Drosophila melanogaster: one gene and its partners. The protein of the gene in region 4 interacts with the protein of the main gene of each other region in a pairwise test. Each region holds a gene or a part of one and is shown on either strand. Other genes may lie near its edges. The genes, in order: SC35, CG14545, CG15167 and indra.

Evidence for each region.
Region 1: the proteins of indra (region 4) and SC35 interact in a two-hybrid assay, tested with the Drosophila melanogaster proteins (one large-scale study listed by BioGRID).
Region 2: the proteins of indra (region 4) and CG14545 interact in a two-hybrid assay, tested with the Drosophila melanogaster proteins (one large-scale study listed by BioGRID).
Region 3: the proteins of indra (region 4) and CG15167 interact in a two-hybrid assay, tested with the Drosophila melanogaster proteins (one large-scale study listed by BioGRID).

The regions. Positions count from the first base shown.
Region 1 is NT_033779.5:12,428,100-12,437,294, forward strand, and holds SC35 (SR family splicing factor SC35), read right to left. Parts: upstream 5,940-9,195; 5' UTR 5,814-5,939; coding exon 5,736-5,813; intron 5,611-5,735; coding exon 5,480-5,610; intron 5,082-5,479; exon of another isoform or gene 4,926-5,081; intron 4,852-4,925; exon of another isoform or gene 4,699-4,851; intron 4,625-4,698; coding exon 4,246-4,624; 3' UTR 4,210-4,245; intron 4,106-4,209; 3' UTR 2,976-4,105; downstream 1-2,975. Other genes in the region: Trm1 (tRNA methyltransferase 1), read left to right, coding at 44-498, 562-1,641, 1,699-1,873; CG5435 (uncharacterized protein), read right to left, coding at 1,973-2,094, 2,179-2,594, 2,648-2,688; eRF3 (eukaryotic translation release factor 3), read left to right, coding at 6,898-7,324.
Region 2 is NT_033777.3:25,848,348-25,855,032, forward strand, and holds CG14545 (uncharacterized protein), read right to left. Parts: upstream 2,945-6,685; 5' UTR 2,845-2,944; coding exon 2,686-2,844; intron 2,617-2,685; coding exon 2,341-2,616; 3' UTR 2,063-2,340; downstream 1-2,062. Other genes in the region: CG5886 (uncharacterized protein), read left to right, coding at 3,386-3,457, 3,573-3,973, 4,081-4,227, 4,470-5,397.
Region 3 is NT_033779.5:18,736,663-18,743,060, reverse strand, and holds CG15167 (uncharacterized protein), read right to left. Parts: upstream 2,704-6,398; 5' UTR 2,652-2,703; coding exon 2,301-2,651; 3' UTR 2,254-2,300; downstream 1-2,253. Other genes in the region: CG42752 (uncharacterized protein), read left to right, coding at 3,055-3,543.
Region 4 is NT_037436.4:1,337,754-1,346,763, forward strand, and holds indra (indra), read right to left. Parts: upstream 4,651-9,010; 5' UTR 4,639-4,650; coding exon 4,619-4,638; exon of another isoform or gene 4,317-4,618; coding exon 4,175-4,316; intron 4,109-4,174; coding exon 2,069-4,108; 3' UTR 1,707-2,068; downstream 1-1,706. Other genes in the region: Hmbs (hydroxymethylbilane synthase), read left to right, coding at 1-1,417; Ptp61F (protein tyrosine phosphatase 61F), read right to left, coding at 6,575-6,776, 6,873-7,408, 7,745-8,111, 8,190-8,452, 8,524-8,697. UniProt on the Drosophila melanogaster protein: Required for rDNA copy number maintenance and non-random sister chromatid segregation (NRSS) following unequal sister chromatid exchange. Binds ribosomal DNA (rDNA) preferentially binding to intergenic spacers (IGS) regions on both X and Y chromosomes.

The DNA of each region.
Region 1 (9,195 bases), on a different chromosome or scaffold from region 4:
ACATTATAAATAAACCACATTAAGCTAAGCATTACGATTGCAGATTATTGCTGAAAATCCCAACGAAAACGTGATACGCGAACGTAATGCGGAGATCGTTTCCGGCGGCAATGTGTTCTACAATCCTGTCCAGGAATTCAATCGAGATCTGAGCATTGCTGCTCTGAATGTTTATCGACAGAGATTGACCAAGGAGCGGAGCGAAAAGGCGCTCAAAAAGCAGCGGAAGAAGGTCAAGGAACAGGAGGATGAGAAGACCACTCCCGTTCCCGAGGATCCACCTGTTTATGAGGCCGGTACTCGATATGAGGATGGACTTCGGATCCTGGAGGCACTGGCAGCCACCGGTTTGCGTAGCATCCGTTACGCGCAGGAAATCGCCGGTGTACGCCAGATCGTGGCCAACGATCTTTCCCGCCAGGCAGTGGCCTCGATCAACACAAACATCCGGCACAACAAGGTGGAGGAGCTGATCGAGCCCAGTCACTCCGATGCAATGTAGGTTTATAATTAAGCTATTGGCACACGGTATAAAATGGGGCATTCCAATACATCGTACAGGACCCTCATGTATCTTTCGACGCAACCCGAGAAGCGTTTTGATGCAGTTGACTTGGATCCGTACGGATGTCCCAATCGCTTTTTGGATGGCGCTATGCAGTGCCTGGTGGACGGCGGCCTGCTGCTGGTGACAGCCACCGACATGGCCGTGCTGGCCGGAAATGCTCCGGAAGCTTGCTATGTAAAATACGGATCGGTTCCGCTGCGGATGAAGTGCTGTCACGAGATGGCATTGCGCATTTTGCTGCACTGCATCGAGAGCCACGCGAACAGGTACGGCAAGTACATCGAACCACTACTGAGCATATCAGCGGACTTTTACATCCGGATATTTGTGCGTGTGTACGTCGGCCAGGCCCAATGCAAGCTGTCGATGAGCAAGCAGTCTTGGATATACCAATGCACCGGATGTGAGACCTTCACGCTGCAGCCCTTGGGCATAACCAAGCCAAATCCCACGGCTGGTAATCCCCAGCAGCTGAAGTTCGGAATTCCCACTGGTCCGGCGGTCAACTCGCAGTGCGAACATTGCGGTCACAGGCATCATCTGGGTGGACCCATCTGGTCGGCACCGATTCATAACCCCGAATTTGTGCAGGATCTTTTAACGGCGGTCCAGGAGACCACCTTGCAATCGCTGGGAACCCAGAGACGAATCGTTGGAGTTCTTTCCATGGTCCAAGAGGAGCTGCAGGATGTTCCCCTTTACTACACGCCGGACAAACTGTGCTGTGTGCTCAAGCTAGAAATCGTGCCCATGCTAAAGTTCCGGTCTGCTATTCTCCACGCTGGCTATCGAGTCTCATACTCGCATGCCTCGAAGAATTCGTTGAAAACCAATGCTCCACCAGCGGTGCTATGGGACATTCTGCGCAGCTGGAGCAAGCGACATCCGGTAAATCCCGAAAGGATGATTCCTGGATCTCCACTGGCGGCCATACTTTCGAAAGAATGCACTGCTGTCTACGAGTTCGATGAACTCCATCCGGAGGCGAACCCGAAGAGTCGCAAATCGGCATTATCGCGCTTCCAAGAGAATCCGACTCCACATTGGGGACCTGGAACCAGAGCCACTATTATGTAAGCTAAGTAATCGAGCCACCCACTTTCGCATACTAAATTCCCATCCAATTTCAGGATTGGTGACAACAAACTACCCAAGAGCTATCGTAACCAGAACAAGAAACAGCGTCACAAAGCGTCGGAGCAACAGGCGGAGGATGACCAACAGGACACTCCACAAGCAGTGGATGAGTATGATGGAGATGTGGAGCACCTGCCCAAGCAGCCCAAGCTGGAGGCGACTGCGTGACGACTGCTTCTGTGTCCCAAATTTATTTCCAATAATGTTTGTAAAACCCAAAACGCAAAATGGTATTCTTTCTGGGAAAGCAAACACAGATTTGTGGAACTAATAGCGGAAGAAGTTGCCGTCGGAGGTCTGGCGCGAGAATCCATTGTTCACCAGCTGGTTGTGGACACCGCTGCAAATGAGCTTTACGCTGTGCGGATGAATCTTTTCTTTACAACCGCCTGCAACAATATGATTAGATTCGAAGTGGGTGTTACTTAAAATGCGTCGAGAACTTTAGGTTTGTACCAATTTTGTGATCTTACCTATGCGAAGTGGATGACCCAATACGTCCTCCTGCTTGCGCCGAATGAAGCGCGTGTTGCGCAACACCCGAAATGATTTGAGTTGGGAACCAATTTCCTTGGCCGCCCCAGGAGCTGACCAGCTACTTATGGCGCGGCACGTCTCCCTCTGCATCACGTAGTCCACCTTGTCCGGAAATGCTTCGCGGGTGTGATCGTAGCGCGACTGCAGCGAAAAGTCCAGCGTATCCTTCGGGATGTTCGGATTGGCACGGTACCGCTTGCTCGAGCGCACCGAGTTCATCGTTTGATGATAGAAGAGCCGCTGATACGGCTCCAGATGGCCATGCCAGGTGCCCGGTTTCAGATGGGCCTCCGGCAGCGGGGGCTCTGGAAAAGAGCACACATAGGTGCCCTCCGTATGCAGTTCCGGCTGCCTGAGAGCACACAATAGTCATCTTGAGCCAAGTCGGGCATAACTAAAGCTTACCATGATACATTCTTGATCTGCACAGTATCGTACTGAATCATCTTTGCAGGAGAAACCAATATAATTTAGATGAAAGTGTAAAAGGGTTTCTGAATCGTATTCAGAAGGACTTGGGTATATGTGATTTTGCCTTCGGTTTCCCGGCAACTGCTTTGTCAATATACCCCCCGACTACCATGTTTCTCGGGAGTCAATAGAAACCGAAACATAATGGATGGATGTTCTGGGCATCCGAAGATACTAGATCTTTCTTTACAATATTCCAAGATACATATATGTTTTAAAACCCCATTTCAACCAATTAATAACATATGTAGATGGTTAAGTTATAATCAAGTAAAACTTTATTGAAGCGTTTAATTAGGCTGCAAATTCAAAGGGTTAGCTCTCTCACTTACCGAATGTACCAGATCGTTAGGGAATCCCACATTTCGGTCGAGTCAGTATGCAATCCAGACTCTAGCATCCATCGCATCGTCGATGTGGCCTCTGCTGCAAATGATGACTTTTCGCCTAAACTCAAAAGGGACGCCCACCAAGATACAGGAAAACACCAACAACGCCAACCAGCAACAAATCGCGAGTTGAGACGAGACGAGACGAGGCGAGAGAAGAAGTGACGGGAAACGGGAAACTATGAGTGAATCTGGAGCAGCTTTGGCAGCGCCAGCGTCTAACAGGAAACAGGAAGCTGCTACGGCTACGGCAACTGCAACTGCAGCATCAGCGGCACCAGCAACAGCATCATGCGACAGCAGCAGCATCAGCATCAGCATCTGCAGCAGCAGCAGCAGTAGCAACAATCAGGAGCCACGCGGTGTCCGCCTACGTGAGGAAGGAGTTGTAGCTTAGATGATGCGCTGCTGCTGATCCTTAATCGCGAGCGATTTAACCACAATCTTATCTGAACCGCAACAACTGCCACACACCATTCGCCTGCATATATATAATAAACGTGTGGGAGAAGCTTGTTAATAAGTTTGTCGTTAAAAGGTACAAAGAACGGAAACGAGCAACACAAACGCAATCGAATCGAATCGCAACGAAACAAACAGAATCCTAGAGTATTCCTATCACTCATCCACCTCTCATTCTCCTCCTGTCCTGTCTGTCATTTGATATTTAGGTATTGAATTGAAGCCGTGTTAATTTGAGTTTATTTTGTTCTGTTTCTGATTACGTTCAAGGATTTCTACTACGCTCTAGTATATGAAAGCCTATGTGCAAGAACCGACATCGAGGGATCGCCCAGGTTGCGGGGATCTCACTCGGAACATAATCATGCCTGATCTCTACTTATTTACTCTGCCGAAACTTAAAATAGTTCGCTATAAATAGTTGTGTTAAGTGTAAGATTGTATAATGGTTTCTATACCTGCTGTTCGGGTACAGCATGACACAGATGGAGCCATAGATCCGGAACAGGATACAGCATTGGCCCTAGTCAGCGAGTCATATCTGAAAGCAAAGAACAACTAGTTTTAAAATAATCCCTATTTAACGTAAGGTATGTTTAACCTTATATAAAGCTTTTTCTGAAGCGTTACACGATATGAACTCACCTCGCACTCCCACTAAATGGAACGTGACGTCGATATCTAGGAGCGACTGCGACTACGAGACGCGGCTGGGGCCAGTCCTCCAGATCCGCTTCCGATTCCATTGCGGCTGTCGCCGCGTACTGGACTGCGTGAAAATTTGGATCGGCGTTCCGGCGAGTGGCTACCAGGCGAGCGGGAACGGGAGTATGATCGGCGACGCGGACTGCGCGAACGACGGCGCATTGGGGAGCGAGAACGTGACCGACGACGCCCGCCGGAACCACCGCCTCCTCCTCCGCCACGACGACCACTGGAGCTGCGAGTGGGCGAAGAGGGGCGTCCGTAGCGGGCCATCTGTACGCGGAGCTCCCTGCCGTCTAGCATGCGACCATCCATGGCCTCCAGTGCGTCCTCGGCATCACGTTTGTCATAGAAGCTAAAAAATTAAGGACATGATCAACTAGATTCGTGTGTACTTTGCACATACGTTTATTTATATTTAAGTCTATATTTAATTGTAGGGCTTACGGTAAGTTGGCTAGCAGGGGTTTGGTAGGCAACTGTTGCAAGTGTACACATTCAATCTAGCATCCTTTTGCTAAAGAAGATGTACAGACTGAAAGCTGTTACACATTCAAAAGGGGCAAATAATGCAGGTAGATACAACAAATAAATAGAATAAGTGACCTTGTATCAACTTAATGTATCATTGAAGCCATATGTTATGAAACTATAACTTTAGAACTTATTATTTAGATGTAGTATTCTCTGTACGTTGGCTAGTAAATGTTGAGTAGGCAACGGTTGCAAGTGAACACATTTGTTCTGGCACCATTTTGCTACTGAAAGTGTACAGATTAGCAACTGATACACAATCGATGATAGCAAATAATGCAAATAGTTCTAATGAAATGAGAGGAATATTTGAGTTTAGACAAGGGGCGTACTTATTATAGCAGCTATATTCAAATGATATTTAAATGATTACTCTGAGACTTTTGTAATTTGCTTGCATACCCTGATTAATTCAGGGAATACATAACATTTTTCCTCAATGTGCTAGTTTTCAATGAAACATTATAAAGTAGATAGTGAAAGCGGATATGACGAGTGATTGTATAGCATGATTTTCGCAGTATACTTTCGGGAAATACATATATTTTACTCCTAGTATGTATGGATACATTTTAGGTCCCATGATAATTAAAATCCACCGCCGGCAAGTGAAAGTAACAAAACAAAAAAGACCTAAGACTTTCACAATTTTCCCGGAAGAGAAGTGAATGCTTACCGAACAAATGCGAATCCGCGGCTCTCACGTGTGTAGCGATCCCTGGGTATGTAGATGTCCCCCACCTCGCCGCACCGCTCGAAGACCCGACGCAGATCCTCCGGCGTGGTGCGATATGTGAGATTGTCGACCTGTAGGCATAATTACACGCGGATTAATTTACATGCTTTTGGAGAGGTTACCTAACCACACAACGTTGCCAGCCGGCCGCCATTTTGTGGGCGATTTAGTCGCATTTTACTTAGCAGATACTTGCCTTAAGCGAGACCATTCCATCGATCCGTGGAGGTGGACGCGCTGCGCCCAATCCCCCGGCACCACCACCGTTGCTCATTGTCTATTTGGATATTTGTTTTACCGCTAAAATGCTAATGCGAATGCTGAAAACGAGCCAAACTCCAGACGATTTTTTCACTACTGTTAAAATGGCGTCTGGCACGACGTTAGAGCTGGAACAACATCGATTGTAATTCGATACCATTGATGATGAGCTTAGAAATGTATTGAAACCCCAAGGCTCACTACACACTTATCAATATTTACAAAACTCGCATTACACTTCTATTATACAAAATAACTAAATTAATAATTATAAAAACTCACTGAAAGTGAATAAAAAATTATTAATGTCTAGTCACACATAAAACAAATACAGTTTGTATTTATATATGTACATGTGGACTACGTTATATTTAGCCTTAAAAAATTATATTAATCAGAACAAAGTACAAAAGCAATATAATTATTTATGTTGAATAATTTTAAAAGTATTAAAAATCTTACTAAAAAAATTTAAAAATATCTTAATACTTTGCCCCAAATCAATTATAGGCCACTGTGACAGCCAGCACATATCGATGCACCGATAACACCGCATACAAGTGGCAACCCTGACTTGATGCGTGGCTTAAAACGTGTAAAATAATAGAAGATTGCTAGTTCCGAGCACTGCATTTAGTGTTCAGGTAGTCGAATCATACCTGCAGATCACCAGGTGGTCACCACTGCCCCAAACAGGCGATAGTCGATCAAATTAAAGGGAATTCGAGTTCAACCCGAGTTGGCCAGGCTAGCAAAGCACAAACAACAAACACAACACCGAGTCACAACAAAAGTGTAGACCACATTGAGCCGAAAGTCTGGCCTAAACCCCCCACAAGCCACCCCCCCGGCCAACAACCATCAAGGCGTGCGTGTGTTGGTGGCATTGCTTTTGCCATTCCCAATTTCCATTACCATAGGCAATCCCAAGAATTCCGAACGACCGCGTGTGTTCTGTGTGAGTGCGGGAGCAGCAAGAAGAAGCAGCTGAAGCAGTTTGTAGAAGGAGGGCGAAAGTGTGTCGTCGCGTGAAAAAAGCGAGAGAGAGATTTTCATCGGAGGAAACCACTGCGGAGGATTACGGACGCACTGCAACGATGGCCGCCCAGGAAAACACGGAGATCAGCACAAAGTTCTCAACGCTGAACGTGAACGCGGTAGAATTTGTGCCCAGTTTCAGTTACAACAGCGTTGTGAATGTAGCTGAGGAGGCGGCGGCAGTAGTGGTTGCAGCGGCTGCGGCCGAGGAGACGGCGGATCCGGGTCCCGCCTCCGGTTCAGCCACGCCAGCCACCACACCCGATTCCGTCGGCAGCGGGGGATCCACAGCGGGAGCAGCTCCACCGCCTCCAACTGCACAGGGGGCGGGGGCAGCAGCACCCTCAGCACAGCCGCCCACATCATCCTCCAATTCCGCATCGCCAGCGCCGGGTTCGCCAGCCACCACGCCTTCAGCAGGAGCAGCGGCGGCGGATCCAACGCCCATCGATGGTCTCAACCCCTCGGACAAAATCGCAAACAATGGTAAATAGAGCTTGCTAGCTACCTAAATACCCCCTGCCAAATACACATGCCCCACGTCCATTGAACTCGCTTCTTCTGTGACGTCAACAAAGAAGCGTGTTATTGTTGCTACCTGCTGGTCGCAAGACCGTTGGCAGAGACACAACAATGGGGAATGGGATAGGGAAAACCCCAAAGATAGGTTGCATTCACCAGGTTCCGTTTAGGTTATTATCGCTGGCCCTAGTACATAACCTCAATCTGCGTCAGCACTGCCGACGTCGGCGTCGCATGTGTTGCTTGACTTCTATTCGAATTGCGGGCATTATTGTGCCGCTAAACAAATGGCTAATCGCTTTCGGCCTGCGCGCAAAAACAGTTCGTCCGGCCAGGGCCCTTTCTTTGGCCGCTTTTCTCGTCGTCGTGTCGCCAGCAGTGGCTCAGCGCAGAGATGCCCAGGAATCACGACCAGAATCACTACAGAGGTGTCACCAAATGGTGAAATAACCGCAAATCAGGTCTAGTTGTTTTCTAGAAACCAGCTAATGGTTGGGAATTAATCATGCACTTTGACATTTTTGCTTTAAACAAATGTAGGTACATACATTTAAAAATACTTGTTGAATCTATATGTACATGAACATCAAACAATCCACGCCTCGCTGTGATCTTGGGATTTGGGATTTGTGAAAACTTTCGTCCGAATAGTATTCTTATATTCTTAATCGTCGTTCAGTATTTTGAGTTTCAAGAATTGGGATATTTAAGAGTTAAGCCATGAAAATTTTACACGAATATGCTAATATAAATATTCTAGCCTTGTGTATTTTTCAATTCTATAAACTTGTTCATAATTTTAATATTCTGAAAATTTCATAGTTAGAAAACACTTTCTTGTTTAGCTTTGTTGATTTCTCGATGTAACGACTTATCACTGTCACTTGTTAAACTGTTAACAATCACGGCGCATCTCTGGTGGCCACTCACCTACTTGCCATTCGCCGGGCGACGTTGACAAGCAGCTGTTTGTGCTGCCATTTTACTGCCGCTTCGCTTTGTGGTGTCGTTTATTTGGCCATTGCCTTGTCCCCTTCTTCCGCACCCACACTCGCAAATGCTTGCCCCCCAATTCTTGTGTTTTGGACACGTTTACTCTTTTGTCAGCCATTCATTGGAGCCTACGCTGCGCCCAGCTTCGACTGGCGGTGTGGACTGGAATGGAATGGGCATGGGAATGGGAATGGCTCACTCGTCGTTATCGCAGCGACTCCAATGTGGCGACTTTTGTAGTTGCTTGGCCCGAATGGAAGCGCTTAGTGCAGCTCGCCGGCGGTTGAAACCGCTTCGAACTTGATTACATGGCGTTTGGCTGTGCGGCGCGCTTGCCAAAGCGCCGAAAAAAAATAGCATTTGCTGTTGGCTCTTACACTTTGGCGCGATCGAAGCTCGTTTCTCCGGCTATATCTACATCCGCTCCTAGTTCCGAAATCCGATTAGAATTGAGTTGTATGCATCGGAATCATGAGTAAGGGCGCCGGATCTCGCTACATTTACTCGTTTTCGCAGTGGAGAAAAAGTTAGTAATCGTGGAGTTGGGATACCATTCGTTACAGCCCATCTCCAGACGGTCAAATGATCCTCCGACATTTACGTCAAAGGTTCGGGAACTACTATTAACCAAGCACGTTGACACCAGCACAGAACAGCACTCCACCAATCCAATCCCGCACATGACTCATCCGCCCGGGTGGCTAGAGTCAGCGATTAGCAATTAGCATGTGGCCGCCAGGTCAAACACGGCGAGTGCATGAGTGGTAGTACGAAGTATATAATTGGTGAAGTGATAGCTCAACTTCCCTGAGTTTAAATCATCTGAAGTGCTATAAGTTTCT
Region 2 (6,685 bases), on a different chromosome or scaffold from region 4:
GACATGAAATTGAAGCGGCGCAGAGCTGCTCCTTGCCACCCTTTCCATACATTTTCCACATCCCGATACATTTTCCCGTGGAAATTCATTCAATATGCAGTTCTCACAGAATGTCGTAATGCATTCAAATTTTTACCAAAGATATACATTTTTATACATATATAATATAAAATATATGCTATAATCAGGTTTTACAAATTGTAGTGAACCATTAATTTCTGATAAACGTGGAAAGTTAAATTAAATTCCTGATGACATGCAAAGCTTTTTTATTGCAAGATTATAATGGCCTTTAGGCACCCTGGAGGGGAATAAATATTGCATTTACTATAAAATAAACAAAAAAAAAACATTATTTACATTCCCAGCTGTGCCTAAAAAAGCAAATTTTTAAAAAAGTCTGCTTAAAATTTCTTTTCAATTAATTACAGTTGCCATATAAACGTAAAACAATTTTTAGCTTTATATAAGCTATTAAGGATTTTGCGAAATTCGTGTAGTCCCTCTCGCGATTTTTCAATGATCGCCTGCAGTCCTTTGAAGCCAACTTGGCATACTGCACTTCATTTGATTCCGTCTCCTGTTTGTTTTGCATGGGTTTGGCCTGTGGCTGAGAGCACGAGGGGTCTCGTATTTTACGTGGCCAAAGTTGTACGTTCCCAACCAACTGACATGCAGATTTGGCCAAAAAAAAAAAAAACAAGAAGAGCAGGCCGTTGGCCACTTTGCAGTCGGCACGCGTGGACAGATTAAACGGCGGAGAGGAGATAAAAAAAAAAACAGGGAAATGCCCTGCAGCAGCGGTCAAACAAACAATTTTAAAGAGCTCCAATCAATTATCAAGCTGAGTCCACTCTGCTTTTACCACAATTTGCCGTTAAGCGACAATTTCCGCAGCGATTATTCAATGTCAACTAAAAAGTTGCAAAAACGTTCGAAAAACCAGCAAAAGCAATTAAAAGCAGCTGCTGCTCGGCCACGCCCCGTTTCCGCTCCGCCCCGCCTCAGAAAAGTTCATGTTTATTTTATGTGGCAAAATATGTTTTCTTTTTTGGGAGTAATATTTATGTAAGCCCTGCTGCAGTTTATTTGTCAAGCCGGACATGCATATGTCGGGGGATTAGATGGATTTATCGCACTGTGACAAATATACGGTGTAAATCATTGAGCTGCCTGCTTCTACAGGCTGCTCCACACGTGTTAAATTTAACGCAAGAAAAGGTGCATTAAATATGCAAGAGTGCAGCATAAAAACGAAAGTATTATTGGCTTTGTCGTAAAAATGTTTAAATTCATGTGAAAAGTGCTTTTCACATATGAATAACCTTTAACATATTTTATACATGATGTATGTATGTATGATTTAAGTTTCCATGGAAATTTAAACTGTATTACTTAAAGTATTATTTACATTTATGTTATACTTTTGCAAAAGAATTGTTTTAAAGGAATACGAGAATATTCAACTAGGCAAAAGCGCCAAACTTAAATAATTAAACACTAACGTGCGTCAACTAATTTATTTTATATTACATCGCGTTATTTGAAATGCATTTGAGCACAAATCCAAATATGTATTAATTCACTGCATTTTACTAAAGGCCCGACCTAATTAGCAGCTTTTCGCAAGCCAATAATTATGAACAAACTAATCCCCTGAACCTTAAATTAAATTGCAACCTTTATTTTATAATCTATGACGTCAGTCGCAAATTAAATTTCCCCGTTTTGCTGCCAAACAGCAGCTACACACCTCACCATGTTGAACTTAATTGAAATGTTGTTTTATTTGGCCCTAGATATTGCCGGCAAACCATGTAGCATATATTAGTTATTGATTTCCCACAGGTTGAGAGGTTTAATGGCACTCAACTCGAAATGGGTCAAAACAGGAGCCTTGTTTTAATCAACTGTGCACATGGGGAGATGATAAAGAAGATCAACCTCATCGAACTGATTCAATTTTAACAAGTTCTTTTAAAAATTTAAATTATACTTGATAATAATAAGATAATAAGGTATTCGATAGTTATGTGTTTGTATTATAAGACATCATTTGTTTAGTTTTAAGAGAAATCCATTGAGTATTTTTAATATGAAAAGGAACAAAACATTTTCCATACATCATGCTGGTCAACAATTTTTAATGGATAAGTATGGCATGTACACAATACAATGTTATACGTTCACTTGATAAAAAGTCGAGGTTACATCTCACATTGCGTCGAATAAACAAAATGTAATAGAAATATGCATCCAAAACTCACATGCAGTTGCCAAAGATATGTATCCAGTACATAATAAAGGCTCAACGACAAATGTGATTCGATACTGTGCGATCTATGGATTTGAAGGATTTGAATCCTTGAGCGATGACATCGGTGTACATAGCCCAAGCTCCGGTTTCGTGGAGTCCATCGTAGTCTCAATGCTCTCCACCATGGAATCTTCGCTCGATGATGAGACGGCTTCCTCCACATTGCCCACATACTCCTCCACTTCGTTTTCGCCATCGTAAAGCTGATCCAAGGCATCCAAATCGATGATCAAACGGCGCAAATGGCGCAGCTCATCATGGGCACGCGACACTTTCCGCTCCAGGGCCTTCATTTGGGCCTGCACATACAAAATGGATGCAAGCATATACGATTTTATTTAAAATATTGTTAAAATTTCAACTCTAACCTGCGGAATTAGCGGACAGCCCAGAAAATGCAAAATGTGCATCAGAGGGTCCGATGGCAACGGATCGATATCCACCATTTGCTTTAAAATCTCCAGAAGTCGAGGGAAAATGCCATTTTCCATCAAGTATGCAATCGATTCTTCTTCTCTTTCCGACATGTTACGTGTTTAAAACGACCAATTTGGTAATAAATTTGGCAAATTGTGAAATTTCCAATTGATCTTGTGGTGGCGGGAATAACTGTAAAGCGAGGGCTGCACTTGCAATCCGCAATTTGCAGCACCTGGCGGTAGATTTCGGTACCCTGAAACATGGTGCTGTTAACTCATAACAGTGGGCTGTTGCACGCAAGACTATAATTCAAATGTTTTTCGGCGCCAACAAGCATGTGTAAAACCATTTTTTTGGTTTGACACACTATCAAATATTTTTGGACTCCTATAAGTTTTTGCCACTTTAAAAGGTTTTGTGGAAAAAGAAGCCGGCTGACGCTCCGGCAGCATCGTAAATTCAGTGTGACCAGTTGGATGCGAAATAAAAACGTAACATTACTTCTCACCGCTTTTCAGTGTATTTGCCGGAAAACGAAACTGTCTCACTGTTTTATAAATATAAGCAAAGCAACAACAACAAATATAGTCAAAATTCGAAAGAGGAATAGAATACAAGTTAAATATAGCACCGATTTTTGAATAGACCATGGAGAAGCTAAGCAAGGCGAAAAAAGTGGCGCGCGAGGAGAAGCAGCGCGACCAGAAGTTGGAGGAGTTGGTAAGAGCGCGTGATGGCCAAAAGCCAGAACCAAACCCTATTTCCATAGACTGCCAGAATCCATGGAAACGGGAATAAATAGACAAAATTTAAGGCGGAATTATATCTATTTTAGGTCATGAAATCCCTTGACGAATGCCCCTCCGCCGAGGAGAAGGTGAAACTTCTGCTGCAACGCCATGTGGACAGCGAAAAGAATGTAAGCCGGCTGACGGCGGAACTGCGTGTCCTGCAGCGCCAAATGGAGTCGCAGCAGAGGGAGAAGGAGCAGGTTCAGCGGGATCTTAACAAGAGCGTCCTGATGCGAGACAAGCTGCAGGAGGTGTGCCGCGAACAGCAGCGCATCATAAAGTCCGTAAAGAACGAGAGCCTGCTGCAAATCAAAGTGGAGGAGGAGCGGCGCAAGGAGAGCCAGACAAAGTTCCAAAGCTCCCTGAACGATGTCCAAAAGTCGCTGGCCAAGAACAACGAGGAGAACATCAAGCTGCGCGATTACAACATCGAGATGACCAAGAAGTAAGCATCGCCGCAACGCTGCGGGGATCCGCGTTCTAAATATAGCCACTGCACACGCACGTTCTCTGTTTTCCGATTTTCCCTAACCATCTGGTCTCCCGTTTTAGGTTAAAGCTGCTGGCCGAGCAGTACCAAACGAGGGAGCAGCACCTGGAGAAGCTCAATGAACAGGTTCAGTTGGAGGCCCAGCTGCACCAGGCCAAGCTGCAAAAATGCCAGGTGGAGGCTGCCATGGAAAAGGAGATATTGAGCAAGTATGTGCACAACATGCCGGGTCATCCGGCGCTTCTCTGCATCTCGCGATAAACGGACCATAGATGGTCACACATTAGAAAACAAGTTTTTATTTAACAAACTCGCTGAGATTACTGGTTTTGATTGAGGACAGCTGAGTGGCTAGCATATAATTCATATTACTCGGTTTGCTCTTCACTTGATATGATTTAGTCAAAGCTTAATCCACACGAAAAATATCTAAACTCCACATTTCTTTCAGGGAAAACCAGATTGGCCTGGAGAAACTGATGCAAGCGCAACGTGCCATAAAGGATCTCACCGATCGGGAGCACCAACTGAAGGAGCAACTGAACATATACACCGCCAAGTACGATGACTTCCAGCAGTCGCTGCAGAAGTCCAATGAGGTTTTCGGCAGCTACAAGGTGGAGCTTGAGAAGATGTCCAAGCACACTAAGAAGATCGAGAAGGAGGCGCTGGGCTGGCGGCAAAAGTACGAGAAAGCTAATGCCATGGTGATCGATTTAGCCACAGAAAAGAGTCTGCAGACGCAGCACTCAGAGCGCCTGCAGAAGCAAATACAGCAGCTGCAGAAGCTACTGCGTGCTCTACAGCTGGAGAGGACAACACTGCACAAGTGCCTGCGGGATCACGAGATCGAAATACCCGCCCTGCCGCAGTTGCCTCCTGAACCAGAGCCAGTAAACGTCAAGCCAGTTAGTGCTGAAAATGTTAAAATGGAAATGATGTCTCGCAATTGTGCGGAACTGAAGCAAACATTGGCAAATCTGCAGAACCAAATGAAGCTGCTAACGACGAATGAATCGAAGACTTCCATTGAGGAAAAGAAGAAGGCCGAGGAGCAGCGTCAGGCGAACAATGCCAAGAAGAATATACGCAAGAAGGAGAAAAAGTCCAAGGCAAAGGCAGCAGCTGCAGCGGCGGCGGAAGCTGCAGCATCCACAACGAACGGTGAGGCGAACGGCGTTCAGGAATCAGCCGCAACGGAGTCAAAGGCCGAGCTAGAGGCAGCGGGTGATGCCTCAAACGTTAAGAACGAAAAGGAGCAGACCGTTGACATTGCGACAGACACCCAGGAGCTCGTAGGTGATGGCGACGCTATCACCGCAAAGTCACTTGTTGATATATCCGAAGTGCCTCCCCTAATCGATGCCAATGCCAACTAAACTACTGACTGTTCGCCTATAGTCCCATCTCCAAATCTCGGGCGGCCACCAAGCCTTCCCTGCAAAGCATTTTGTGTCATCCATGTCTCAACTGAAAAACGTCATCAATTACAAACCTACATGGTCCGAATTTTGTACTAGTTATTTATTGTACTTTGTATATTGTATTTATTTAAAGGATGTCGTCGGTGATCGTGTATTGCTGTTCAACAACAAATTGAGTAAAACGTGTTTCCTGCAAACAGAATAAGAATATTAAAATTATTTCTTTGGGTAAATATTTGCAGAATGTCCTTCCAAAAGATTTAAGCATAAATCTTAGCCCACATTTCGCATCAATTTGCATAAGTGGAGTGGAATGGGAAACTGCCAGAGCGCACAAGCTCGATGGCCATGGATTGCTTTCGTCATTGTTGGCGACGCCACAAAGTCTAGTGTTGCATGCAACACATTGCAATGCCAACAGGCGAACGGATGGGGGTGGCTTCAACGGTGGTGATGAGTGGTGAGTGCCTGCGGTTCGTGGCCAGGGTCATTATAATTGCGCCTTAATTATTTTCAACACGCAGCTGTCATTTTTGCCGGGCCCCAGATTTCCGCCATCAAATATTTAAGACGCATGCAACGTGGCGTATGCGTAACGCCAACTGCTGCCAGCGGTCACTCGGTGCGGGCGAGGGTGTTGAAATAAGGCCAGTTAAGTCACTAAAATAATTACACAAATTAATTTAAATTGCATAAAGAGGTGCATACGAAAGAAGGACTAATTATGCCAGCTCTCAAGGCAACAACTGTTTTTACCCCTTTTTTCACAGCATGTTTTATGTACTGTACCCTATATTGTTAGGTCCCCGAGCGTTCTTCCATGGTCATTAGAAATTTAATTAAAAATTTTGATATTGTTAGGAGTATAGGGAATTCTATTTATTTCAAGCTTCTTCCGCCCGATTGCCCATTAAGCGGTATTAAAACTGTCTTCCCCTCGGTGCCAAAGTGTCATACTTGTGCATATTTCACACCCTCGCTCGCATTCACAGAAATGTGTGCACATTTCGCAGGCAATGAGCTTTTGAACATTTAATGAGTTAATACGCTAAATTTGAAAGCCGCTCAAGCGTGCGCCAAGTGCTTCAAACACTTGTCCCCATCCCCGAGCTGCCCATTTTCCAGCTTGAATAATGAGAATGGGGGTATCAAGCCGCTAAATCCAGCACTGAAAAATTTTTCATCAACTTAATAGAAATGTGTTTATTTTTTAATAATATACATTTAGTTTGTAAGATATGTG
Region 3 (6,398 bases), on a different chromosome or scaffold from region 4:
TGCAGATTGCCGAGTCGTGTTTGGCCCAGCGGTGCGGTGTCGGCGGCCCATAACCAAATCAACATTTTGCGGGAGTAGTTTCTTGGTCGGGCTCCCTTTTTTGGAATGATTTTATAGGGCGAAATGGCAGCCTTAGTTGGCCGAAATGAGGCTGAAGAGGAGTAATTTGAATATGGTTTACAAGCGCTCGGGCATTATTGAGCTAAAAATTGGGATTAATTGAGATGATTTATATGATAGGTAGTTAAGTTTGTTCGTACTCTAGAAGAGAAGAACAATAATAAAATACATTACTTTACGATTTTACTGAATATCAAAGAAAAACATTATATATTTCATATAATTCTCCATTACATATATAAATTAAATCGTAAATTAAAAGAGCTCACTTTTATTGATTTTAAATACTTAAAAAAAAACCCACACAAATAGTTCTGCTGCAAATGTTTGTTGGGTAACTCGCTGAACACACGCCCAACCAACTGCAAAAATATAACGGTATCCAAGGTTGTGCTACGCTTAAAATGTAATTGTTCGACTTAAAGAGCCAGAGCAACAACATCAGCCAACAGCGAAACAACAAAACCAGAAACAACAACAACACGGCGATCAAGTTTGCCGCCGTCACCTTTTGCCGTCTAATCAAATACCAGACCAAGACCCAGGGAATAACGCCATCGCTTGAGACTCTGAGCTACCCACCTATGGATACGATACGATACCATACGATATGTAGATACATCCCATAACCGGCAGATGCATGTGCAGTAAAAAAAAATAACACGCATTAATAACTACATTAATTAGTCACCAACTATTGTGTTTCTTTCAATATATATAACATATTTGTATTTCGTACCTATCAATTTTACCTATTATTTGCCAACAAAATTACATACTTCTAATGATCAACAAGCATTGCACCATTTAAATTTAAATGATATTATCGAACAGAATAAGTATTATAATATTTACAGTTTTTAAAGTTTCTAATATACAATTAAATACATCATGATTGTGCAGATTATGATTTCTCTCCGTGTCGATGTATGGGCATGCCTGCATGGGCAGAGAGACACCAACCAACACATGGTCGAATCCGAAATTCAAATCCCAGCTCAACGTCATCGAAGCGCCGCACTCTGGAGGACTCCGCGATGCATCGCAGCGGGTCTTTGGGGGCTGGGGCGGAATTTTCACTTGAATATTCGACACACTTTGAGCCCGGGCACACACAGCTGGAAGTCGCGAAGGTTTGCAGGATTTCCAGACTCAGATTCAGATTGAGATTCAGGGAGGGGCGCCACAGCGCGCTTGGCTGTCTCAGCGATTCTTGGGGCTATGCATCATCATCATCATCATCGGCCGGGGCCGGCGTCGAAGTTGGAGCTGCAACATGGCAACATGTTGCAATCTGCCAGCTCTGCATGCATAAAATATTATGCAACATTATGCCACAGACACAGGCCAGACGACACTCTTGGTTTTATTTACACTTTTTTCGGGCTGTGGCCACCCCTCGCCCGAAATGTTGCTGCTTATTAGTGCCGGGATGTTGACAGCGTTTAGATCTAATTGAATCGCCCGGATCGCCGATTTCTGTGCCGTCCGTAGAACATTTGGCTTGGCCCGCTCCCATTTGGCCCATAACCCATAAATCTAACACACCGGCACGAGAGATTTATAGAGTTCAGATTGCGAAATGCGCAGAAGCACAGCACAGCGCGCAGCGCCGAGCTCGGAAAATCTTGAAAAATTAAAATGACTAGTGCCGGGGCACGATCAAGACCGTGCTGCCGTCTTGATAGCAGACAATGGCAACTCCGGAGGAGATGGAAAGCCCAAAAGCGAAACCTCAGCGGTAGTCAGCATTGGGGCGTCTGCAGTTCAACGTTCAAGTGGCACAGTACGCCCTAGAAAAATGAATTGATTCGATTGTTTTTCGCCGCAACTCGGGCTCCTCTACTTTATCTGCCAGCGCCGAGCGGAAAAATCTGAAAATGGTTAGACAAAAAAAAAACGAAAAATCAGGGGCAGAGGCAAAGGCAGAGGCAGGGAGCGCGCCCCGAAAAATACTGATGATACAATCGCGTTTTTGACTTTGAAAAGTCAGCTTCGAGTCAGCCGGGCTATTGTTCAATGGCCCAACTGCAGCAGCGGCAACATCAGCAACAGCAGCAGCAGCAGCAGCAGCAGCGGCCGACACTGATTGTTATGGTTTATGAGATGAAAATGCACTCGAAACAATATTCTGGGGCCAATGCAATTTGCGATTTTTAATCAACTCCTCTCGTCAGCACTCAGCAACAGAAGAAAACATCGTATTTGGGGGCCCCTGATTGCAGCTTCCACTTCGAGAATCGTGGCTCCTTCATCTGGCTTTTGATCTTCTCCCCGTCCCCGAGATGATTCCCCTGGCTCCTAGCCTGCATCCACTCGACCATCATCTGCAGGCCAGCAGAGCTGCCCTCCAGTTCGCCGCCCACTTTGCGGCCACAGTGCGTATGCGCGATGTAGCCACACACCTTAAGTTCTGCGGCTTTGTGGGCCACAACTGAAAGCAGGGCCTCATCGGAATCTTCGGGCACACTCATTTCATACGCTAATAGGTAGATCTCTGGCTGCGGTTGGAGTACCAGTTCCAGCGACATTTTTGGGAATGGAAATTTGAGTATGTGAGTTTTCACGGCTTTTGAAAATAAATGATCCAGATTTCCTAAGTTACTCTGCTGATGATATATAATCGAAAAATTTGCGTGGAGTAAACATCACTGATCCATCCAAAGGTAAGCATTTAAAACAAATTCTGAATCTTTAAAAATGCTATACTTTTATATTTATATAGATTTTCGTAAAAAGTATTTTTATAAACTATCAGGAAACGTATTTTAAAACAAAATGTCAATTAATAATTATGCTTTGCGTAAGTCATCAGTTTAATCAATTTAGTTTAAAAACAAACCTACACGCCAGTAAATTTAGCTTAACACTCAGTACAATCCAAAATTATAGCCCTAAGTTATTTGCATATCTTTCAGCAAAACTAAACAAGAAATGACATTATTAGGGTCCTACGATTGGATGTTCAATGAGGATATTCAACTTAGGACCGAGTTTAAGTTGTACAACATAATGTCAAGGAACCAATTTCCGCGTCGAATTCTTCAATATTGCCACAAAAACCATATAACCGGATACATAGTATTCACCCACGGGGGCAAACAAGCATTTGGAGTGATGGATGGCAAGCGGAAAGATTTAAACCGGATAAAGCCCTACCTTCTGAGGTTTTGCATTCCAGAACCCTTTAACCAACGAGTCACTTTTTCAGCCTACGAGTTATGCTTCAATCCGAACAAAGAGAAATTTAATATTAAGGATAGAGTTCCTAAGGGCGCCAAGTTTCTGGGAGATATATACGAGGACTGCTTTCTGAGGTTCAAGAATCAAAAACCGGAACCGGAAGAGGAAACCGAGGCAACTAAAGCCTTGTTCGCAAAATATTCCGACTTCTTTAACTTAAAATATTTCGTCAATTGTTAATGGACAATATATAGCTAAGACTATGCCAGCACAATTCCCGATTCTCTTTAGTCGCAGTGATTTCTCGCAGTGTGGATGCGACTCGTGCTGGCCATTGTTCAACACTATTTGCGGCACTCAATCTCTTAATTAAATATGCGACTAACTGGCAGCTCGGAGGCACTCGAAGAGTGGCCCAGACATCGCCGTTTAGTGTCGAAATTGTGCAAGTTTTGATTTTCCTTTTGTTGTTATGGAAGTCGCTGTTTGTATTTTTTTTTTGTTTTTGTTTTTGTTTTGGCTTGGTTTGGTTTTCTTGTTCGCTGGATAATCACAGGCCCGGCGAATAGACGGCAGAAATTAAATCAGCCAAGGTTATCGCATTAATAAGCCCCCTGGTTTGGGTTTTACAGTTTTCTGAGCCAGTCAATTATTAAATTTGCAATTTCCGTAGCTGAACTTTTGGGGTCAGTAGACTGATTTAAATCAAAACCGTAATTGAGCATTGCCCGCGAGCTAGAACCAATCGCACCAAAAACCAAATACCAAATACCAACCTCCGGGCAGGAAAATTGACAAATGTTTGATAGCTAGCTACCTTTTCGGATTGCTTGTTTCACGTGCATTTATTTTCCTCCAAAAGCGGATGTGGGGACGCTGCGAATCCGATTCAGAAAATGTACAGAAAAAAAATCGAAAATCAAAAACTCCCAGCTAAGTGGCTTTCCATGACATTTTACTGACACTCTTGCCGTTGAACTGGAAGACCTGTTTTCATTTTCCCTCTTAGCGCAACTTAACACATTTGACGAAGATGTCTATGCCAGCAAATGACGTGTCATCAATGGAGCCCGCACTCCCACATAAAGATGCACAGCGTCCTCAACTCGATCTCGGATCTCACATCTCGCATCTCGTACCCCGGCCACAAATCCCCAGCACTTGAAGCTTGAAGAGATCTGTTGGTGCTGTTGTATTAATAAGCCTGACATTTGAGCAGAGCATCCACTCGAAGCCATCGGGTTTCGGTTTTGCGTGTAGGCGTCTGAAAATAATAATTAAAAAATCGTTTCTAATGCGGAAATCTCGCGTTTTTGAGCTGGGGGTGAGCTTAATGCCGAAGATGTTAGACAAATATATCAGATTTCTATTTCTTTTTTTGTCGCGCTCCTCGCTTTGGTTAATCTTCCAGTGGACGGTTGTGGGGGATCGGCAAATCGGTGACATGGGTAAAGATGGATCGTTGGGAAAGCAATTGAACAGTGGATCGTCAGAGGTGAGTTGTGGAATCGTATGGGACCACAAGATGTAAAAAGGTGTAAAAAAGAAAAAAAAAATCAGCTTCCAAAATGTTTTTGATTTGTAGGCACGTCAGAAAGTTGTAAAAACATCCAAGCGGCAATGTATTAGAAACATGAAAATTAATTGGCTATAATAAAAAATAATATCTTTAGGTTTTATAAATTACATGATAATTATAAACCCATAATGTATTTATTGGCTAACCAAAGAAGGAGTTTATTCATAATATATCTTTATAATCGAGCACCTAACGGCAGTTAATCGTTAACAATTAAACAAGTCACAACTACGAGAGATGGACAGATCGACAGCAGATATTAAGGCCAATAGGTTGGCCATTGGGCTGGGCTGTGGCCGAAAGCATTAGGCCAAGTGTCCCGGCCCGCCCAAGAATTCAAAGACCTGGCCCGCCCAAATAATTAAATATGTAAGAGGCAAGAGCCCAAGTTAATAACAGCTGCTACCACAGAAGCCTTTTGCCGGCCAAACGTTAAAAATTTAATAATCGCCTGCGAGTATAAGGCGGCCAGATGCATTCGTAGGCCCAGAGATACAGATACAGATGCAGGCCCATGCCCATGCCCAGGTCGAGATACAATATACAATATACTATAATATGTACTGGTGCAATATACACGAAGGCAGCAGGCTCTGCGAGAAGGTCAGACCTCGCACGTTTCATGGCTCATAGCGCTCCTATCGTATAATTAGAAACGAACGACGACAACACGACGACAAACAACGACCGCCGTTCGCCGCTGTATCCGTATCTGTGGCCCGAATGTATCTGTATCTGGGAAACAGGGGAAGGTCTCTGGCTCTGGATACGCAACAAGCGATTCTCAAATGAGCCAATTGTAGAATGCCCGACTACGTCAGTGTGTGTGTGTATGCCCACTATTTTTGTGTACATAAAGAGTGCCACAGTTCTGCAGAAACAGATAGCTCGTGTCGAGCAAGAAGAATAGAATAATACGTGCTAGGTGTGGGTTCGTCAGAAAAAAGTTGATCTATTTGTGGAATTAAAAATAAAAAAGAATAAATAGTAAGTATGACGTAAAATAGATCTAAGGTGTCTGGTGCAAAAATCGGATTTTTATTTCCAGCCAGTTTACGTACTTCAAATGTTGTCTTTAACAGTTCTGATATAAAGAGGATGCCGAAACATATGAACTTCATTAAAATTCCATGAATTCCAAATTGTATCTTAGGGATGTTCTGGTCTGCTTTAAAAATATTTCAAAATATGGAAATCCTTAAAATTAAGTACTTAAGGCTCTTCAGGATTGTCTTAAAAACTTTTGTGTCCTAAGCTAACAACCAACATTGCATTAGGAGGTTTTCTTTGACTTTCCATTAAAGTTAAAAGTGCTGGGTGCCGTAAAGATAGCCATGTTCGTTACGGCTCGTCTCTTTGCCGCCATTCCACATTCCTGGCAGATAGCCACTCAACTGAATCTTTTCAGCTGGGGCACACTCTTCGCTTTAAAAACCCAGTGGTGCAATGTGGAACCGACAACGATGGTGGCCACCAGCGCGTATAAAGCCGACTCCATGCACCGAAAAATAATACT
Region 4 (9,010 bases):
GGTGAGAATGGGCTGGATGAGTCGTATTAGCCAGGTGCTGGAGCCGACCGACTTGCTCTATGCTGTTGGCCAAGGAGCCCTGGCCGTGGAGTGTCGGGCTAATGACGACCAAGTGCTGGCAATGCTGCAGAAACTTATGTGCCTGAATACAACGTGCCGCATCCTAGCAGAACGAAGCTTCCTGAAGACTTTGGGAGGGGGTTGCTCCGCCCCCGTGGCTGTTTGGAGCAACTTAAAGGGCGAGCCCTTGAATGGAAACAGCCAGGAGGTGGGACTATCCCTCACCGGTGCAGTTTGGAGCCTGGATGGTGCAATAGAGATACGGAACCATCTGGCATGTGCCTTAAATGAACAAAAATTGGAGGGGGACCAACGGAAACGAGGGGCCCAGGAGGCCACCAGCCAGTTGCAGGAGGAGACCAGCAGCAGCTGCGATTCTCCCCCGGCCACGAAGCGTGCCAGAAATGGCAACGACAGTTCGGGTTCGGACTCGAATTCCAGCAGTCCGCGCCAGCAAGGCAGCCCTCCAGTGATCTGTGAGGATGCGGCTGCTTGCGCAGCTCTCTCCGGTTACACTGTGGATCAGCTCTCGGATCTGGCCAGTCACTGCCCAGTGCTGAGTAACAACAATGCTGTGGGACCTACCGGAGTTAGTGGTGGTGGCGATGCGGATACCAACAATGTGAACACCACTCCCCGTCAGTGCCCTCTTCGCTTGGTGGGCGGTCAGGAAGTGATGGGCCAGTGCCCAGTGCCGCACAATCAGGCAATGGTTCCTGCCAAATGTCCAGTAGCGCATGCAGACTCTGGGGATTCCTTCAGCGCCAAGAGTGGAAGTGGAGGGGAATCGGCCACCACTGCTCACTGTCCACTACAGATGCCCGTGGGACAGGACTTCATGGGCGAATGTCCGTACGTTAACAACGATGTGAAGGTATCCTTTGCCCAAGCTGGAAAGTGTCCAGTGACTGGCGGTGTGGCAGGAGCATCAGCTTCTATTTTGCCCACGCCACCGAGCAGCAGAGCCAGTAATGCCAGCAGCGCTGGCGATGAAGTGGATAATGTTGCAACTTCCTCCAAGTGTCCCTTTGCGGCCATGCATCAGGGCAGCGGTCTTGAGGCGCCGGCTAAGGACAACGGAAACGCAGCCACAGCCAAGTGCCCGTTCCTGCAGAAAACGGTCCAAATGTTCGACTACGCCGACGAGGAGCAGCCGACGCCGCAGCACTCGGTGCTCATTGAGGATGTGGAAAACCTGTTCTGCGGTCTCTACCAGCACGCCTGTCACAGTCGGGGCATCTACGAGAAGGCCAACCAGCTGGGCAAGACGCTGGCGGAGGACCTGATCAAGCGCGGCGCCCTCGACGTGATGAAGGTGGCCCAGGCAGAGATTCACGGCAAAGTGGCGTCGTCTTGAGCCCGTCATCAATATCATCGTTTACATTAAGTAGAAAAGTGTAACTAGACAAAATGTTTTTCATTTCCGCCTCGTTGTTGAACTCCCGTGGAGAACTCATGCTTCCCCTGATTTAACATCGGTATTGTATTCAATCCTTCTGCTCTCCCCGGCGAATGCATCGTTAATGGTTGGTTTCCGCGTAAACGTTATTTTAGTTTTGTTTTTGTTTCGGGAATATGACAAATAAATGTATAAGTGAACTCATATTGTGTCATTTTTTCTCTCCACTGATTGAAACAAGCAATTTCGTAGCTTTTTGCCATTTTTTATTAACAGTTCATCGCTCAGTACAAATATGTTTATTACATTCAAGCTAATTTATATACTCTTGGTGAGTACAAGTGGTGTAACCAATGCGGTTATAATAAAGTCTTAATATACAAATTAAACTTATCTTTTGAATTGAACTTAATAATAGTTAAAAATGTATGAAGTAACCTTGTTATAAATTGCAGTTTTCATCGACTTTTATCAACTTTATATAGACCCTTTCAAAGTTAGCCATTGAAAATTCAAAGAATTATACTTAACATAGCAATAAGCTAACGTAAAACTACATTGGTCAAGAGAATGAAATGAAAAACAAAAATAAAAGGGAGTCTAGTGCAACTAGTGGCGCTTGCGCAGGTGCGAGGATAGGAAGTTGGCCTCCGTGAAGACCTTCTTGCAATTGGCTACGCCGCATGGAAGTCCACCTTCGGAACCACAGTTCGAGAAGTGAGCCACGTAATCCATTTGGTTCTGGTAGACTTCCTTGCATAGGGTGCACTGTAGTTTGGCGGCGTGCTTTTTCTCCATGTGCGAGTCCAAGCGTTGACGCGATTTGACGAACTTCCCGCACCGGTCGCAGCTGAGGGTCGACTCGTCGGCTGTTGAGTCACCAATGGACTCCAGGCGAGCCTTTTTGTGCGGCCGCACGTTGTAGTTGATTTCTTCCACTATGTCTACATCAGATGAGGGGAGCGTGTCCTCAGATTTGTCTTGTTTTTTTCGTTTTTCTGACTTTGCAGGCGAATTGCCATTGGTTGTGGACACAGACAGATCTACGTGACTGGTCTTCTTTGTCTTTTTAGCTGGCGACCGAGGTGCAATCATGCCTCCATCGACCTGGTGCTGAATGTTGTTCCTGGATCGTATAATCTTTTCTTCTGCGGGTCCTTCATCATCCTCCGCGGTGTTGTCAGTCTTAAAAGCGTCCACAATTTCCACAACCTCATCCTCTTCTTGCAGAATCTTTCGGTTGGTGAACTTTGCGGCTTTAGTAGGGCTTTGTTGTGATTTCTTAGGTCCTTCAACCTTCTCGGCCGTGTTTTCAATCTGAGTCGTACCCAGAATGTCTACGTCCTCATCCTCGTCCTGCAGAATCTTTCGCTTGCTGGAGTTCGGCGCTTCAGCACCGTCGGCATGTAGAGTCATGTGCGTTTTCAGCGACTGTTTGGTAGCCAAACTCTTCTCGCAGACGTGGCACTTGAAAACCTTTGGCTTGTCGATGCTGTGGACGGTCTTCATGTGCTCCTGCATCTGCTTGGCGGTCATCAGCTCACAGTCGCAGATCTCGCACTGAAAATTATTCGAATCCGCCCTGGGAGTGGAGGCGCTGGATCCATTGATGGCAAATGTATATTCCGAGTCGATCACGTTCTCTAACATCCTTTTCTTCATTAATGACTCATTTAGCGCTTTAAAGGAGGCGATTTTGGTAGCCTGGGTCTGGTCTGCGTCCTCACTATCTGTGCCCTTTTTGTTGTTCACTTGGTCGTCGATTTCGTCAACCACTTTGGTTTCAACATTACATTTGATCTCTGTCTTTTTCTCTTTGGACTTTTTTTCTTTTGGCTTCTTCCTTTGACTCACAGCATTGGTCTCCTTTGCCTTTGCGTCAATTTTATTCTTGGCCCCTGACTTAGCCTCTTTTTCCTTGCTTTCCTTCGCCTTAGTCTTAGCCTCGCTTTCAAAAGTGCGTGAGTGAGTGTCCCTTAAATGATTTTTCAAAGTCTTAAGCACTCCAAAAGTCTTAATACACAAGGTACAGGGGTATATGCGTGGTCTTTGAAGACCGTGCTCCTTCTGCAGATGCTCCTTGTACGGTTTGGGAAACTTTGCGTGAAATTCGCACTCTGGACACTGAAAGTTATTTGTGTTAATGGTGATAGGACCTTTATCCGAGTCCTCCTCTTCCTCGCTCTCGGTCAGTACTTCGATGGCATCGTTGCCGCCGTTGCCAAAGAGATTAAGGAAAGCCTTTTTAGTAGACGACACCTCTTTGGCGGGCGTCAGCTTAACCGAATCGTTAAGATTATCCTCGAAGAGTCGAGATATCTGCTTTTTAGGGGTCTTATCGAGTTTCTTGGGCGAAGCACTAATGATCTCGATTTCTGTATTAGTATTAGCTCCATTCACAAAGCTTGGCGGGAAAGCTGCTATGGACTTGCTGCGCTGACGGAGGGTGGTGTTCTTTTTTGGCACCTTAACCGCCTTCTTATCGCTTTCCTGTGTCGATGGCTCCTCTATTTCCGCTACCTTAGTCTTCTTGGCGGGCTGCTCCTGTACCCTGTCCACCGTCTCGCGGACCTTCTCGATTAGTGCCGCGCTGGACATGAATGTGGAGGTGCAGACGAAGCATATCTTGATGGGCAAGGATGATGGGATCTGAAATGGGATGGGATGATTTAGATGACGAGAAGGGAAATCAGAATGCCGCCATTTCCAACTCACGCTTCTGTGGGTGATGGTCTCCAGTACGTCTGTTATTTTCCTGCCCAGGAACACCTTCTGACCTGAAAAAACACTCTTGGACCCTTGGCTTGTGCCGCAATGGTCGCATCGCACCTCTTTTTGCACCTTGGTCATATTTTCACTAAGTTTTCCAGCAAAAACAAAAACAGAAATCAAACAACGTGCGCACGTTTTTTTTTTTGCGGGGCTACAGTTACCAAACACTGCTATCTATGTTAATCAACTGCAGTGCTGCCAGACCGAGTCACCAAAATATACCACATAGTGTGCTTATATATTATGGTTGCACGTTAAAAGAAGCAACTGCAGAACGTTCGCAGAACGAATCTTAATCTTAATAATTTTTGCATCAAATTTAGAAAGAGTGTAGAAAACAGTTTTTAAACTACCTATAATGGCAGTAGCAACTTTAAAAAATATTACCAAAGCAGTATATTGCGCATTCCGGTCACACTAAGTTACATTAACATTCTGTTAATGCTCACGTCGCGTTATGCAACAGCTTTGCGTGTCGATATATAATCGATAACTCTGAACTTGGTTTCCAATTTAAAAATAGTTTATTTAGGCATTAGAAGCTACAGTAATGCAAAATGATATGTTTAGTTTGTTTCTTTGTGTTGGTGCTGACCTGGATGGGCTGTGCCGTTACTTTGTCTTGGATTTTTTGAGTCGGTTCCCGCGCCTGCAAACAAAGAGATGAAAAATGTTATGAATGACAAGGACATGGCAAGGGAATGCGCCAGGATCAAGCGGTTCGCAGTTTTCATGTCTTAAACGTATAGCTTTATTTGAATACTTTCTCTGCTCCTCCTTTCTCTTTCTCTCATAGGCATAATATTGTATAGTACTGTGTTGTGTTGGATTTGTTTCAGTGTACGGTTGGTGTACTTAGCCGACGTTTAGTTAACTAGGCATTACTAGGTATTGTTCATGTTGTTTCTGTTAAATATACTTAATATAAATATGTATTTCCTTTATTTGTTATCCTCCTGGGCCCATCCGATTTCATATGGATTCATAGTGCCTCGCTTTCGGGGGTGGTTACTTGAATTTTGTTAAAGTGTGGGTTACACATATAAAAAATATTTGCGTCCTCTCACGCTACACGTTTATATAAATATGTTTCTTGGGATTGGGACTGCACACTTACTCTACTGGAAAAACCATTGAATAGTCTTTCGCCTTCTTCGTTCTCTCGTTCTAATACAAAATGGTTTCGCTATGGCAAAACCTGGATTATAATTAAATCATACACCTATACTTCGCTTAGCGACTTAGTAAACCGATTTTAGTTTAATTTGATTTGCAACTAGCCACGTGCAACTAGTCCACGGTCACAATTTGAAAAAAGAATCACTTTATTTTGATTTCAGATCGATCGGGGGCGAGTGTGCGAAATGAACAATTTTGATTATAACACTCCTTAAAAGCGTTAAACGAGATATAGGTGTACATCGAGCTGTTTTGTTTAACCGTAAGTTATTGCTTTAATGGCGCTGAATTTCGATTCATTAATAAAGTGCTCGTTTAAGGGGGGACAGGGTCTTTAATTTTAAACACAACAATTCAAAGTTAGTGGTAGTGGTAGGCGGGAGGCAAAGTAAAATTAAGAGTCGTTTAGGACACTTCGTACAATTCTCCGATTCGGTTCTTTTTGGCACATTGCTGCACTTTATATTTTGCCATGTACTACAACAAGTGGTGGTTTCTCATAATCTTCATAAATAAATATACATAGGTCGTATGCTATAAGAAATTGCTGTACAACAACAAGTGAAGCGTGTAGTGGGTGGTTGTCGGGTGCTTGAAACATTGGTAGTTATGATATTCTTAATATTTTAAGCATAGCGAGCAAGTAGGGTGAGCTTTGCATTTGGTATGGCTCGTTTGGGGCATCTGGTCGGTTATCAATCCATTTTTAGAGTGTAGAAAATAAATTTGATCTAAAATGTCAGTCTATTGCGCAAAATCTACATTTGACGTGATTTCTACCCGATTTTCGTTAGTTTAGTTTAGTTGCTTCTTTTCTTTCATTTGTTTCTTTTGTTTTCCTTCTTGTATTTCGTATATAAAAAATTCCCTAATATTTATGCATCTTGTATCGTTCGTTCAGCTCAATCAATCCGCCATCCGCAATTCGTGTGCGATTGCATGGCGTTGCGATGCGATTCCGTCCGATCTCTGATCCTTTCCGATCCGTTGCACGTCGTCCTTGATTCGTTGCCCGCATTAGATGCCGGGTCAGGCGGACGAGCAGGTGGGGATCGGAAGTCGGAAATCGGGTATCAGGGGAGGAATCGGTCTCCTACGGCAACTAAATACGTCATACAGCTATTGCTACTACTGATCTACGACTACTTAGTGGCTACGGGGCACTTAACCTAGCTTCGTGTATGCGTAGGCGCAGATCACGCCCACCACAACACCAGCGGCAATATATGTGAGTAATGACCTTCGTTTCTTTGCCGCCAGCTGTTTGTCCTCGTTCTCCCGCTGCTTCCGCTTCATGTCGTTGACCTTCTGCTCCAGGCTGGCCTGGTATTCGTTGCGTTTTCGCCGCTTCAGCTCGTTCTCGGGACTGAAAAGTACGAATTTGGAAGGGGATTAGAGGGATTTTTGTTTGACTAGGCGGTTGAAAAATAGATACTGAGCAGATCTAAGACTAGATTCTTACCTGGCTGGGAGCTGGCCTGGAATTGGATCGATGCCGTTCGCCTTGTGCTGCTCGTCGACTGGCACCGCTGGCTTCTCGTTGTTGGCATTAACATCGTCGGCATGTGGCTGTGTTGTCGCGGGCACGTGTCCATTAACTGGATCGGCATCGTGCTCGTTAATGGTCTCGTACTCCTCATCCTCATCGGTGTCGTCCTCGTCATCGTCATCCAGCAAGTAATCCTCATCGCTGTCCGAATCGTTGAAAGCCCTTACGGGTAATGGCGGCAAGGGACGACTGTCGGCCACCTCGGCATCGTGGATCATGTCGTGCTGATTAATGAAGTTGTTCAGGGCGTCCTTGCTCAGCTCTTTGCCGATACTTTCAGCTCCATTAGCCTGGGCCGCGCGCATATTGAGCGAAAGTATACCGCCGGAATTGGGGGCCAGTGGCAGATTAAGCGATTGGACGCGTGGGGGCAATGGCGGCGGCAGCTCATCCAGTGTGTGAGTCTCTGTGTCGTTGCTAATGAGGGGTTCTTCAGCGTCAAGAAAGGTCTGAAGAGAAATCAAATGTTCTAATTAGTCGCGGAAAATAATCAGGGCCTTCACAGAAATCTCTGCAAACCAAAAACAATGGTTTCTTTTTCGCATCAATTAAACAATAATCATTAAGCTGATACTAGATCACATAATAAAAAACAAAACTAAACATAATACAGTTTTCAAAAGTAATCATAATTCCATTAAACAATATGAATTCTAGTAACCATAACCAAGCCCAGAGATTTCTGTGACCCCCCAGAATAAATAGCGATGTGCAATATATACGGCGGTGCTTGGCAGCCCCCAAGTTTGACTCCCAAACGCCGACCGCTGGTCGCGCATACATACGGGATCGTGCAGCTTTTTAATGCCCTCGATGATCGCCTGGTAGGAGAAGTCCAGCTGGTCGGCGGTCTGTATGAGGCCCATGCGGTAGCTGCGCAGCTCGCAGAGCACCTTGGACACATTGCACTCTCCGTACTTGTCGATAAGTACCAGGCAACAGTCCACCAGGCAGAAGGTGCCCGACCGCCCGATTCCGGCACTGCAGTGCACTACGGCTGGACCCACGTCGCGGCTGAGGCAGCCGGAGTCGCGAACCTGCTGCAAGAACTTAAGGAATGCGTTCGGCGAGCTGGGAATGCCAAAGTCCGGCCATGTGGTGTAGTGGAACTGCATCACTTCACGACTCTGCTGCGTTTCGAGATCGGTTAATCTAGAGAAATAGTCAAAGGCAATTAGTCCACATGTACAAATGGTTTGAAGCAGAAGAAGAATAAAGAGTTCTACTCACTTGAACCATCGCCGCACAAAGTTCTGGTAGGTCTCGAGACGGACGAGCTCCACGGTGAGTTTGACGTGGGGCAGTTTCAGGGCCTTGTCGGCTCCCATCTCGTTGGGCCAGTAGAGGTGGCACTTGATCTGTTTCTTCTCCATCAGCTTGTTGAGCATGAGAACTGCTCTGGACTTCTGCTCCCATACCATCAGCCAGAAGTGGCCCACTGTGTCCACCAGCGGTCCTTGGGTCAGGATGTACTGGCGCTCGGCGCGCTCCAGCTAGAAAGGATTGATTGATCGCATTAGGCGTTTAATTAGGGGTGTGTGTATGCATTAAAAACGTGACCCACCTGAACCAGGTTCGCATTGATGTAGTCTACGCTGCCGCGCTTCAAAACAATGCGGGAATGATCGTACGGATTCACATCCCGATAGCGATTCAGGCCGCGGTTCGTGTGGCGTTCCGATTCCGAGGTGCTGAACTGCTTCTCCTTCGCCTCCCGGTCGCAGGTCTCACAAATTTCCTGGAATTCCGAAAAGAGCGATTAGTACAATCGAAACTACCCATAACAACAAAGGTTGAGGTGGTATTAAAATTCGGTCGCTTTACTGACAACTTATCAGTCAATTTGCAGGCGGTAATTCAGGGGATTTTGTGAGATTTGCGCTATTTACCTAAGCGTTCCAGACCCCAGAAGACAACTACTATAGTGTCTTACTGGAAGATCTCTTCTTTCTGGTACAAAATTCGTAAAAAATATAGTTTTCGTGTTACTCAATTATCTAAGACAGTAATAAGACCAAAAGTTCAAACTAATTAAACATTTATGCATGAAA